Notamacropus eugenii: one gene and its partners. The protein of the gene in region 3 purifies or fractionates together with the protein of the main gene of each other region. This does not show direct contact. Links are inferred from orthologs where the notes say so. Each region holds a gene or a part of one and is shown on either strand. Other genes may lie near its edges.

Region 1 (3,759 bases), on a different chromosome or scaffold from region 3:
ACATTCACTGTACAGCCACACAGGGCCTAAAAGCAAAGGCATATAATTAAATAGATGAACAACTAAGAGGGAGAGAATTCTTCTCTAAAGACAGATTCTAGGGCTTACAAAGATTTTGACTGGGTAAGGATGACTAGCTTTCCCTTCAACTTGTCTTATATGAACCCCTGTACTGTTTCCAGAAAGTGTGGCACAGATCTGCATGACTAACCACATACAGGCAATCAAAACATGTGATTCCTCTCTAGATTGTGCTGAGAGATGTTTATGTCTCCAGCAAGGGAGCATAGTAGATACAGACAGTATACTAAACTTAGAATAAAAAGACCTGGGTTTCATTACTGATGGTTACTTTCAAGCCACAAGTCTCTTTCTCTAAGGTCACTGAAGTCCAGAATCCCGTTACTATAAACCACAGCTGTATGTCTATAAAGATCCTGCCTTACCTCACGGAGGGTGATCCTTGCTGGGTAAATCACATCAGACCCATCTCTCTTAAATATGTTGTGTGGCTTGTCCTTTAAAACAAAGACAATGTCAGCTGGAATGTTGGTTGAGGTTTGGTCCCCCTCTTTTGGGAAGGTAATCTTGGTCCCCTCTTTCCACCCTCTTTTCACTTCAATGGTCAGGATCTTGTCCTCATTGCGGATGCTCTTCCCATCGGGGTTAAGCCGCTTGTGGGAGATCTTCATCTTTTTGGTACAACCACTATAGATCTCCTCAAGTGAGACCCGGAGATCGTGGGTAACCGGGGGATCCTGTTTTCGGCGGCTGTGTTCCTGGGCTGGACGAGGTCGGTTAAAGTTCATATTGGTAAAGGCACCCATGCCCATTGGGAAGCCAGAAAATGGGTCATCAACATCCATGCCTTCTTCCCCGTTTCGTTGACCAAAAAAGGTGTCAAAAGGGTTTCGGCCACCAAAGAACTCAGCAAACATGGCATGAGGGTCCCCATGGAAAGTGTAGCTGAAGGAAGCACCGTTAGGACCAACACTGCTACCACTACTAGGGCCACCACCCTTCAGTCCTGAAAAAGGAAAAACGAGAATTCAAATTGTTGGCCAAAGAAAATAGCTCTTCTTGCTCTAGAACTCCTTCTTCTTCCCCAGTCAAGGAGAGAGAACTTGGGCATCATTAGACAAATAGAAAGCATTGTTTTTTTGCCCCACTTTCTATACTCCTATTTTTCCTATTTAGACATGATCTTATTTCAAGACAGACAGTATGTTAGCTATCAATAGGATGAAGATGCTAGATTTTTGCATCCTAGCCTTGGGCTGCCTAGTCTGTGAGGGAAATTGCTGGACCGTATTTTAGTGCTAACCTGAGAAATAAGGAAGAATTTAACAGAGTGTTATTAACTTCTATTCTTGTCTAGATTTCAGCTGGTTACTCCTTGAGGTCAAGATATACAAGGTATCCCAAAAGTTTTAATGCAATTTTAAGCTCTACTAGCTTAAGTATTCACTAAGACTTCTGTTGAGCTCTGTATGAGCCTTCTTTCTAAATGGCAAAATATGCTATTTTCAGTTGCTTATAGTTAGCCCTTTTAAAGAATGGCTACTATTTGATCCCGATGCCTTTTGAGCCTTGACTACCACATAAGTATTTTAAAACCTTTCCCCTGTGCTTTTAAGGTCTATAAAATGCTTGGGAAAACAATGTTACTAGAGTTGGAAAAAAATCCCCATCCCCCCTTTTTCAAAGCACTCTTCAACTAGCCCGAGCCTCAGCTCTGCAATTCCTGATTGTGATATGTTTCACATCCAAGACATCTACATCTTTTTCTTACTGGAATAAGGTAGGGAAATGTCCCCAGGTTAACTACTGGATTCAGGAGTTGACTTCAGCCATCATTAATATTCTCATGTGAAAGCAAAGGAGGTGCATTTCCAATATATCCTCCAGGGGAATGGAGCTAAGGGAAGTCATCAAACAAGTTTGCTAAGGCGTGGGGAGGAAAAGTAGACCCCGCCTAACATACTAGTAGATGCTTTGCTCACACCCACAGGCTGGGGAAGGCCCACAGTAAAACCTTAAGATCTCCCTGCCTCTGGTCTAACTTCTCTCGGGGAATGACTAACAAACATGCTAGAAGGTTCTGCGGACATGACAGCCAGCTGCTGAGCCAGCCAGGTCTCCACCTCTCATCGAAAGGCTGCCAATCGGAATGCAGGGCAGTGTAGCCAATGGGTACGGGGGTCGGGGGGCCAGCAGCCCCACCGGGGACGAGGAGGGAAAAAGTAACTCTTGCTCATTGCAAAACCCACAGCAGGCCCCGGAGGCGAGCAGGGGGCGAGCAAACGTCAGAGGTTCCCCGTCCCCCGGGAGGGAGGCTCCGGGCTGACGGCGCAGGCTCGCAGGAGCCAGGCCTCGCCGCGAGCGCCGTCCCCTGGGCCCGGCGGCTCCTGGTTTTCCGGGGGCGGCCTCCTGCAGCGCCGCCCGGGCCTCTCCTGGATGAGCCTGCTCCCACTTCCGCGGGCCCCTGACTCACCCTCCTCCCCGTAGCGGTCGAAGATGTCCCTCTTGCGCGGGTCGCTGAGCACGTCGTAGGCCTCGGCGATCTCCTTGAACTTCTCCTCGGCGCCCGGCTCCTTGTTCTTGTCCGGGTGGTAGCGCAGCGCTTGCCGGCGGTAGGCTCGCTTGATCTCTTCGTCCGAGGCGCCCCGGGCCAGGCCCAGCGTCTGGTAGTAATCCTTACCCATGACCCCCACCCTCCCGCCGCCGTCCTTACGGCTCCGCCGCCGCCCCGGCCCGGACGCTATATACCCGCCCGGCGGAAGCTTCCAGAGCCCGCCAGCCCTCTCCAGAACCTTCCGCTCCGCCCCTCGCGCCGCACTGCCCAATCCTGGGCGGCCGAATCGCAACACGTGACCCTGGGGCGGGGTAGGATCGTCAACGGTTGCGGGCTCGAGACGCACTCCTCCGCCTTCTTTGCTCCTCCCTTTTGCAACGCCCCCGCCCCCCACCGAGCGCGAGTCAGTTCTCCCGCGGCCTTCTGGGACCCTCACCTAGTTCAACCAGCCCCGCCCCCACTGCCCCGCCCTCCTGGAATTTCTATTTTTCCAGGGTGTCGAAGACTCAGTCTCAGTGCTCTGCCCACACCTGAGGATCAGAGCAAGCCCCGCCCCTCGGCCAGGCTGTCCCGCCCCTTTGTCTGGGTTTCAGTCCTAGATCCTGGCTTTTAAGAGAGCTGAAAGAGACTGGTGATCTGATCAGATCTCCTTGAATAGAAAAAGAAACTGAGGCTTGGAGAAGGCAAGATCGTTAATTCTGGGCTTATTTTTTGTCTCCTCCTAACAGACAGAAAACCTTTAATAAATGTTTGCTGTCTTAAAAGTGTCTAGTAAGTGGCAGAAGGAAGAAGAATCTGCCTTTTCCCACTCCAAATTCGGAGCTTTTTCTAATAGTATTCAGTTTTTCTCCTCTGACACTGCCACCACCTTGGTGCAAGCCCATCACCCGGACTGGTGGGTCTGCCTCAAGTCTCTCTCCACTCCAATATCATCTTCACTCAATTCAACTGCAAAAGCGACCTTCCTAAAGCTCAGATCTGACTATGTCACACACCCTGTCGTTCCCTGTCACTTTCAGTATCAAATAGAAAATCCTCTGGCGTTTAAAGTTCTTCAGAATCTAACTCCCTTCCTCACCTTTCCATGTTTTTTTTTTTAACACTTTGTGTCCTGAACCACTAACCATATACTCTCTTTGATCCACAAACAAGACACTCCATCTCTCAGCTCAGAACATTTTCTC
Region 2 (3,759 bases), on a different chromosome or scaffold from region 3:
CTGGCAATCTCAAGGTCAAGGATATGGGGTAGAGGATGTACTAATCTCTCATTCCCCTTAATTTGTTTGCAGAACTGTACAAGTTGATTAGGATTCACTCATCCATTCAACCAAGCATTTATTAAATACCTCTCATTAGCTACCTACTATTGAATACCCCCAGAAGGAATTGTAGATGGAAAAAAAAATAGAAATCGTCACTGCCCTGGAGAAGTATATAGTATATTGAGGAGTGGAGAGAAGTATGTACACAGTCTATACAAAGTAATTTCTGTGTGGAGAGTACTAGTTAGTAACTGGAGGGGTGTGGGGAATTAGAGTAGGCTTCCTCTAGGAGTTGACACCTGAGTTGAAACTTAAATCAGGAATTCTATGAGGATCCTAGATTTTAGAGCTGGAAGGACACTGGGTGGAGAGAGCACCTACTCCAACTCCATCTTTCTGCCAAATGAGACATAAAGGTCACACAAGGGATTTAGTGGCAAAACTAGTTCTCAACCCTGAGCCTTTCCAAAGCTCTTTCCTCCACATAATGTGGTTCATTTCATTGAATGCTGAACTCGCTGAATTCATTCAGCTGGATGCGGGCCAACCAACCCCCCAATGAAGTCAACTAGCATCTATAAAGGGCCTAGATGCACCAGGCTAAGCGCTGGGGCCCTGCTCCCGGGGGCTCCCAGTCAGTCCGTGCATCCCCGTCCTCAAGTGCGTCATACAGTTTGGGGGCGCCATCAGTCGCGCTTCAAACCAGGTGGATTTACAGGCGTTTCTGTTACTTTAAATCTTGACCCCATGGATGACTGCCCACTGTGGGGTGGTGCACGCTGGGTGGGGACAGCCGTTGGGATGGGGCAGGGGCGTGGGGGTCCCCCATAAAGCACGGGTGGCACCCCCGGGCGGCCCACATGAAAGGCTGCCCATAAAACAGGTCGGAGCGTCGTGAGGGGGAGGCCCCCGCCGCGCCCGGGGATCCCGGGCGGGGATGAAAGGAGCGGGCCGCGTTCCCCCCGCTTGGCTGGGCAGGGCCCCGGAGGCCAGCCCCCCAGCTGGCCGGCCTCCCGGAGCCCCTCCAGTCGCCTGGTCTCTCGCGCCCAGCCCAGGGAGCAGAACGCCAGGGCGTTGCCATGGCGACAGGGCCCTCGGAACCCTGAGGCCGAGCGCGCGGCCGCGCCCGCGACAAGCACGGATCCCCGCTCGGCGCCCCGCACGCTCGTCCAAGCTGGCTCCCCCGATGAGCCGGGGCCGCCTGTGGGCCCGCACTGCGGCCCCAGCGCCCCGACGCGGCCCGGCCCCGCTCTGGCAGCCCGCGCGCCCTCCCGCCGGCCGGCGAGCCCGAGAGAGCCTCTCTGGGCGCGCCCAGGCCGCCGCGGCGCCGCCGCTCGTTGCTCCTGCGCCCGGAAGTGCTCCTTACCGCCCGCCCCCCACCCGGCTCCCCAGCCCTGGCGGTAAGATGGCGGCGGCCGCGGAGTGCGATGTGGTAATGGCGGCGGCGGCCGAACCCGAGCCCGAGCTGCCCGACGACGAGGAAGCCCGGAGGTAACGAGGGCGCCGGCGGGCCCCGGGGAGGGGGCGGGAGCGGGCCCCGGCTCCTGGGGTGGGGAGGCCGCCACCCCCACCCCTCCCAGCCCGACTGGGCCCTGTCCTCGCGCGGCTGGGGAGGGGGGAGCGGGAGTCATGATCCGGGCTGCCGTGACCCCCCCCCCCCCGCGGCTCCCCGAGGTGTTGGGAAGGGGGGGGGAGCCCTAACCCAGAGCCTCCGGACGCCCGCAGCCACAGCCGGGCCCCGCAGCTTTTGCTGTGTGACCTTGGGCGAGCCCCTTGGCCTCTCTGGGTCTCGACGTCCAGCTCTTCATAGGGGGTTGGGGGGGGTTCGGGGTGGAGGCCCCCTCCCCGCACGCTGCTCCTCCCCCTTTCCTCAGCCCCGCCGGGTGCCCGCCCCTCCACCGGCGAGGTGATCCCGCGCTGCCCATTCATGCCCCGGCCCCCTGCCTTGCTCCGTGGTGTTACGTTCTGGACGGATCGGGCGGGGGGCACCGATCCCTTCTGCCCGCCCTTCCACCAGTGTCCTGGGGCTCAGGCAGCGGCAGGGGCCCGAGAGGACCAGCCCCGGCCTCCGCCGCCCCCCGGGAGGTCTTTCTGGGAAGGCCCGGATCCCTGCTACGTTGTTGAGGGCTGTTATTTGAACTGCCTTCCCCCTGCTGTGACTCTCAGTCAGAGCCCCGTTTGGGATGCTTCTAGGCTGTGGGCTGGACTCCGGTGCCCCTGCCTGTGACCCAGGCCCTGGCCGTAAGCGTACCTTCAGTGGGGTCAGTTTAATATTTAGCCCTTCTTAAATTTTCACTCGGATCAAAGGATGGCCAAAGTTCACACCCTGAGATTTCGATGTGATGGCAGACACCGAAGCACCTGCGAGCAGTTTAACTCTACTCAGGGCCCAGGTACCATAGTGGGAAAGGACCCCCCAAGGCTGGCCTCAGTCCTGTCCTCTAGTCAGCTGAGAAGTTAGAATAAACGTGATCCATTCTTCTAAGGAATTGCAAAGTGGGAAGCAGTAGTCCATAGGCCTTCCTCCTAACTGTACACCGACCCAGCCCTCCATGATTAACTAAGTTTAACCAGGTCAGAATGGAAGTTTGGAGATTCAGTGCTGAAAATGAGATGGGGCTGAAGAGTTCAGCATCCTAGGAGGTTGTCTTCCTATTTATACAAGTTTCACCCTCTCTCCTCCCAGTCACCTGTATCTCCCTCTCATCCATATTGGAGAACAGGAACTGGGGACATTCCCTAGAAATCTCCTTTTGCATGCTGACGTAGCCACTTTCCTGACTGGTCGGGGTCAGTTCACTTGGGAACAAAGTGGGAAACATCCCTTGGGCTGATTTTGTGAGGCTGTGTTTGTGTATATGGATGTGCTGGGTATGTCCACTGGGGCCAGGCACTCCTTTGGCTCAAGGAAAAGGTTATCTTTTCATCATTGCCACCTGTCTTTGCTGCTGAGCTAGCACTGTCCCAGCAGGGGGCAAAGTAAGGGTTTTCTAGAATTCTCTGGTGTCTAGGCATCAATAGTTGTCATGTTTAAAATGGGCATTAGGTTTCATTTTCTTAACCAGGTCTCCAAGGGAAAATGAAACTACTTATTTTGTGCTCTGTCCTTCTGGCAGTGTTCTTTTTTTCCTGAAGAAGCGGAAATGAAAGCTATTTTAGTCCGAAAGGCTAATATCTGCTATAGAATAGACTGAGATTCTACGCAGAGATTCTTGGTTCCTCTTGCCTCTAGAAGAGCTTCATCGTATTAGGAATCAAGGAGCTGATAACGTAGCTTAAAATTCTAGTGGTTCACGTTCTCAGGTTCACATTTTCCTATAGAATACAAGCATTATCTTCGTGACTGCTTGAGTGGGCTACCCATGTTGACATCCCGCCTACCCTGAGGGCTCTGTGGTAAAGCAGCATAGCTGTTGTTTGATGCCTCTAGGGATGTACAGCAGATTGGCTTCTATAGGAGGTATTATAAGGGTAAGTCTGGGCTTTGAGTTGTTCCTTCTCTTCCTTATTAAAGAATAGATTCTTGTTTACACACATCTGAAAGTCAGTGGTCATTTAAACAGCTTCCTTCACCTACAGGGCCTCTAGAGTCCCTTCTGGTTCCAAATCTGTGAACCTGAGCAGGGAGAAATGAGGAGAGTTATGTCCTTAAGAATCACTGTACCTGGATTTGTTTCACCAAGCCAGTCATCATACTAGTGACTTCATCTTACT
Region 3 (3,759 bases):
CATGTTTGCTCTGTGGTGCTGGGGCAATGTATCTCAAATATCTTCAACTGTAATAAATAACTAAGGCACAACTTACTAAAAAAGGTCACAAAAAGCTTTTTAACATCATTACTCTTTTAGTTTCTACTCTTCAAAGTTTTTTTAAGCCATCAAATTGCTCTTTCCTTTTGTTTTATATAACACTAAAAAGTTAAATGGTTGAAAAAAGAGAACTTAAGGTAAGTAAAACTCCTTTTTTGATCTAATCACCCTTTGCCCTCCTTTTCCCAACAAAGAAAATGTAACAATAAGAACTAGGCTATTTAAGGAAAGATCCACCCCTCCAAACAAAAACCAAATACCGACATCAGATTTCTGCTAAATTCTTATTCCCTAGGATCATTAGCTGATCTACAGATTTTCTATTTTCTTCCTACCATCACTCCAAAATCTCAAAAACCTTATCTTTAAAAATCTGGCAAGGCTGAAACATTCAGCACTAGTGGAAAGGCAGGCAATATCTGAAGTCAGAAGAGCTGGACTGGATCCTAGGTTCTACTACCTATTTCTGAGACTCTGGGTAAATTATTTCACTTCCCTCTCTGGGTTTCATTCAATTTCCTCATCTATAAGATGCAAGGGAGAAGAGGTAGATTAGGTGATCTAAGTCCAAAGTCTCTTCCAGTTCTAAATTCCACGACAGCCATTTCCCCCCTCCCTCCAAATCAGGTCTACATGGGACAGAGTGCTGCTATTTAATTTAAATATAACTAATGCCAATTGAACTTTCACTCACAAACACTAGTTTCAAAACTTCCTATTGGCTTTACAGAGAGCAGGGCCATAAAATTACTAAAAAATTTTAGGGAGGCAGAAGTGAATGAGGATCTGGACCAGGTGCCACCTCCCACCTTGGGCTCCTGGTGTCACCACGTCAATGGTCTCCTCGAGTTACCCAGAAGGAAAGAAATGATGTTAAATTGCTGAGCAGTGTTGGAATTGGCCAGGCCCCTGTGTCTGCTTCCAGAAGTTGTTACGTTAAGATGGATGAGCCCCTTTACGGGTTAGGTGTCAAAGCGCAAAGCTGCATCCTGTTTCACCCCGCCCCGGCTAGTTCTGAAAGGAGCACAGGGCTCAGGGGACCGGCCACTACGGCCACCTTCTACGGCCTGGCTTCCTGGGCTGGGCTGCCTGGCTTCCAGGGGATCTCAGGCCTTGACTTGGCCCTGACCTCACAATAGGGTCCGCCATGGGGGAGGGGAGACCTCGGACCTTCCTGAGGCTCTCGGCAGCGCTCCTAAGGGGTGAGTTAAAAATCGATGACCCCATTCCCTCCCATGGGGAAGGAGGTCATGGGGGGGGGGGCAGCACCGGGGAAAGAACTGGTTCTGTGTGGGGAGGCACGATAGTGAGGAGACACCCCTTCCAGGCCCCCCAAAGCTAAGAGACCTAAAGACTTGGGGAGGGAAGGATGGGGGGGCCCACCCTGAGTAGAGAAGTAAAAAGCGGGGGCCCGGATTCCGAAGGCATGGGAAGGGGAGCCCGGCCTGTGAGGGGATCTGAGAAAAGGAAGGCATCCTGGGATGTGGGGGAGTGAAAAAATGGGGATCGGCCTCTAGGAACATGGAGGGAGTAAAAAGAGAGGGGCTGGCCTTTGGGAGTTTGTGGGGGGTGACAAAAAGAGACAATGGCCTGTCAGGGAAGGTTTAAAAAAAAGGGTGGGGAGAAGACTGAGGATGGGTCCCGGCCCGGCAGGGCACCGCGGGGGGTCCCGGTCCGGGGGTGGGGGTGGGGGCTGGTAGGAGGGATACATACCCCTCTATCTCGCTCCGGAGGGGCCACAGCGAGCAGTCGGTCACCACCGCCGAGTCCTTCACCCTGGCTCTTATCACCTCAAGCCGGACCCTGAAAGGAAAGCGTCCCGTCTGGCTCGGCCGCCCCTCACTCGTCCCAGCGCCACCATGGCCCGGGCCCCGGCCCCGCAGCCCGGCCTAGCTCTCCTTCTCTTCCTGCCCCTCCTTTTCCTCCTCCCCTTTCCCGCTCCGCCTCCCTCGCCCCCCACCCCCGCCCTGGGAAGGCCTGACCCACCCCCTGCGGCCAGAGGAGTCCTCCTGCGGCCGGGAGGCCGAGCGTCGGCACTGCCCCGGATCGCCAGGCGGGGGCGGCCCCGGCGGCCAGATGGAGCCCTGCCTCGCCGCCTCCGCCGCTCGCTGGTCACCTCTGGGCGAGTACACGGTCGGCCCCCGGCTCCCGGGCTCCTGCTCCTTCTCCGGCTCCTCCTCCGCAGCCGCCATTTTACGAGACTGCCGTAAAGCGGCGCGGCCGAGGCGGGGCCGAGGAGATGCCGATGGCGGCGGCCGCCCGGGTGGGCTGGAGGCAGGGGCTCCTCCGTCCGCCCCGCCGCGGCTTCTCCTGCCACGGCCGCCGGCTCGGCTCGGAAGAAGGGCCAGAGCCCCAGGACTCGACGCGGAGCCGGGTAACCAGGGCGTCAGCGGGGCGGGCCCGGGGCCCCCGAGGTGGCAAGGCCCGGCAAGTACGCTGGCCGGCCGTGACCCGCGGGAGCGACGGCGGTGCCACCGCGCCCGGGCCGGCGGGAGGGTGTCAACGAATCTCGGCGTGTGTGTGTGTGTATGTGTGTGTGTGTGTGTGTGTGTGTGAGTGTGAGTGTGAGTGTATGTGTATATGTGTGTGTGTATGTGTGTGAGTGTGTGAGTGACTGAGCCCCGACGGCTGTCAGTCTCGGTGTCACTGAGCGTCGGCGTGGTGGGAGGGGCAGACAGTCACTGAGCCCCGACGTGCGTCTGCCTCTGAGCCTCGGCCGGGTGGGGGGAGGGGCGGGGAGCGTGTCACTGAACCGCGACCCCCCCCCGGGGGGGAGGGGCAGAGAGGAGGCACCCGCTCCGGCCTCGTGGGGGAGGGGCAGACAGTCACTGAGCCCCGACGTGCGTCTGCCTCTGAGCCTCGGCCGGGTGGGGGGAGGGGCCGAGAGTGTCGCGGAGCCCCGACGTGTGTCTGTCCCTGAGCCGGGCCCGTGAGAGGTGGCACGCCGGCCAGTCACTGAACCCCACGCCTGTCTGTTGCTCATCCCCACTCGGAACGGAAGAGAGTGACTGACCGGCCTGGCCCTGCAGGGAGCGCGGTGACATCGGCCCTGATCGCGGCTGTGGAGGGGCACGGCTGGTGTCTGTGTCGCCGAACCTCGATGCGGTTTTATGGAGTCGTGTGTGCGCGCCCTAAGCCGCACGTTCCCGCGGCCCAAGCTCCTAAAGCGCTGCCTGGACGTCCCGCATCGTGGCGGAGCCCCAAATCCCGGCGCACTCTCTGTCCCTGGCGCTTCCGGACCCTTCAGGCCGGCTCCTCTCTGAGCCCCGGAATTCCGCAGCTGCTCCCTGCGGATTGGCTTGGGGTCGAGAACAAGGAGTAAACACCGTCGGACGGTGACTGCCGGTGCTTGGTTTGACTCGGGCCTTAGTTATGGTGGGTAGTGACCCTTGGCCAGGACCCCCTCCTCTCTGTTCCCGTCTTCCCTGATACATGGGGGCACAGCTAAATCTCTCCTACGTCTTTTGTGGGGGGAGAGGGAAAAAGGGGTTAGGATGGCATCTTTTGCCAGAGCTCAACCTTCTTCCATACTGGCTTTCTCTGGAGATATGATCAACCGCATTCTAAAAACAAGTGATTAATTTTAGCCTAATGACTATATAATATCCCTTAGGTCTCTTACTCTTTTAGGTCTTTTCTCTCCCTTTGTTGTTTTATGGAATTTATATCTTAATACCT

The links.
Region 1: the proteins of BAG5 (region 3) and DNAJB1 purify together in Homo sapiens (affinity purification with mass spectrometry; 3 studies listed by BioGRID and IntAct, with this or other methods). This does not show direct contact. The link is inferred for Notamacropus eugenii from reciprocal best matches to the Homo sapiens genes BAG5 and DNAJB1.
Region 2: the proteins of BAG5 (region 3) and DNAJC7 purify together in Homo sapiens (affinity purification with mass spectrometry; 4 studies listed by BioGRID and IntAct, with this or other methods). This does not show direct contact. The link is inferred for Notamacropus eugenii from reciprocal best matches to the Homo sapiens genes BAG5 and DNAJC7.

Annotation. Positions count from the first base shown.
Region 1 is NC_092875.1:76,447,862-76,451,620, reverse strand, and holds the start of DNAJB1 (dnaJ homolog subfamily B member 1), read right to left. Parts: upstream 2,864-3,759; 5' UTR 2,706-2,863; coding exon 2,495-2,705; intron 1,028-2,494; coding exon 447-1,027; intron 27-446; coding exon 1-26. UniProt on the Homo sapiens protein: Interacts with HSP70 and can stimulate its ATPase activity. Stimulates the association between HSC70 and HIP. Negatively regulates heat shock-induced HSF1 transcriptional activity during the attenuation and recovery phase period of the heat shock response.
Region 2 is NC_092873.1:358,508,184-358,511,942, reverse strand, and holds the start of DNAJC7 (dnaJ homolog subfamily C member 7), read left to right. Parts: upstream 1-1,357; 5' UTR 1,358-1,450; coding exon 1,451-1,536; intron 1,537-3,759. UniProt on the Homo sapiens protein: Acts as a co-chaperone regulating the molecular chaperones HSP70 and HSP90 in folding of steroid receptors, such as the glucocorticoid receptor and the progesterone receptor.
Region 3 is NC_092872.1:349,352,486-349,356,244, reverse strand, and holds the start of BAG5 (BAG family molecular chaperone regulator 5), read right to left. Parts: upstream 2,274-3,759; coding exon 2,068-2,273; intron 1,903-2,067; coding exon of another isoform or gene 1,885-1,902; coding exon 1,795-1,884; coding exon of another isoform or gene 1,735-1,794; intron 1,529-1,734; coding exon of another isoform or gene 1,451-1,528; intron 1,222-1,450; exon of another isoform or gene 891-1,221; intron 1-890. Other genes in the region: COA8 (cytochrome c oxidase assembly factor 8), read left to right, coding at 1,451-1,528, 1,735-1,902, 2,081-2,455. UniProt on the Homo sapiens protein: Co-chaperone for HSP/HSP70 proteins. It functions as a nucleotide-exchange factor promoting the release of ADP from HSP70, thereby activating HSP70-mediated protein refolding.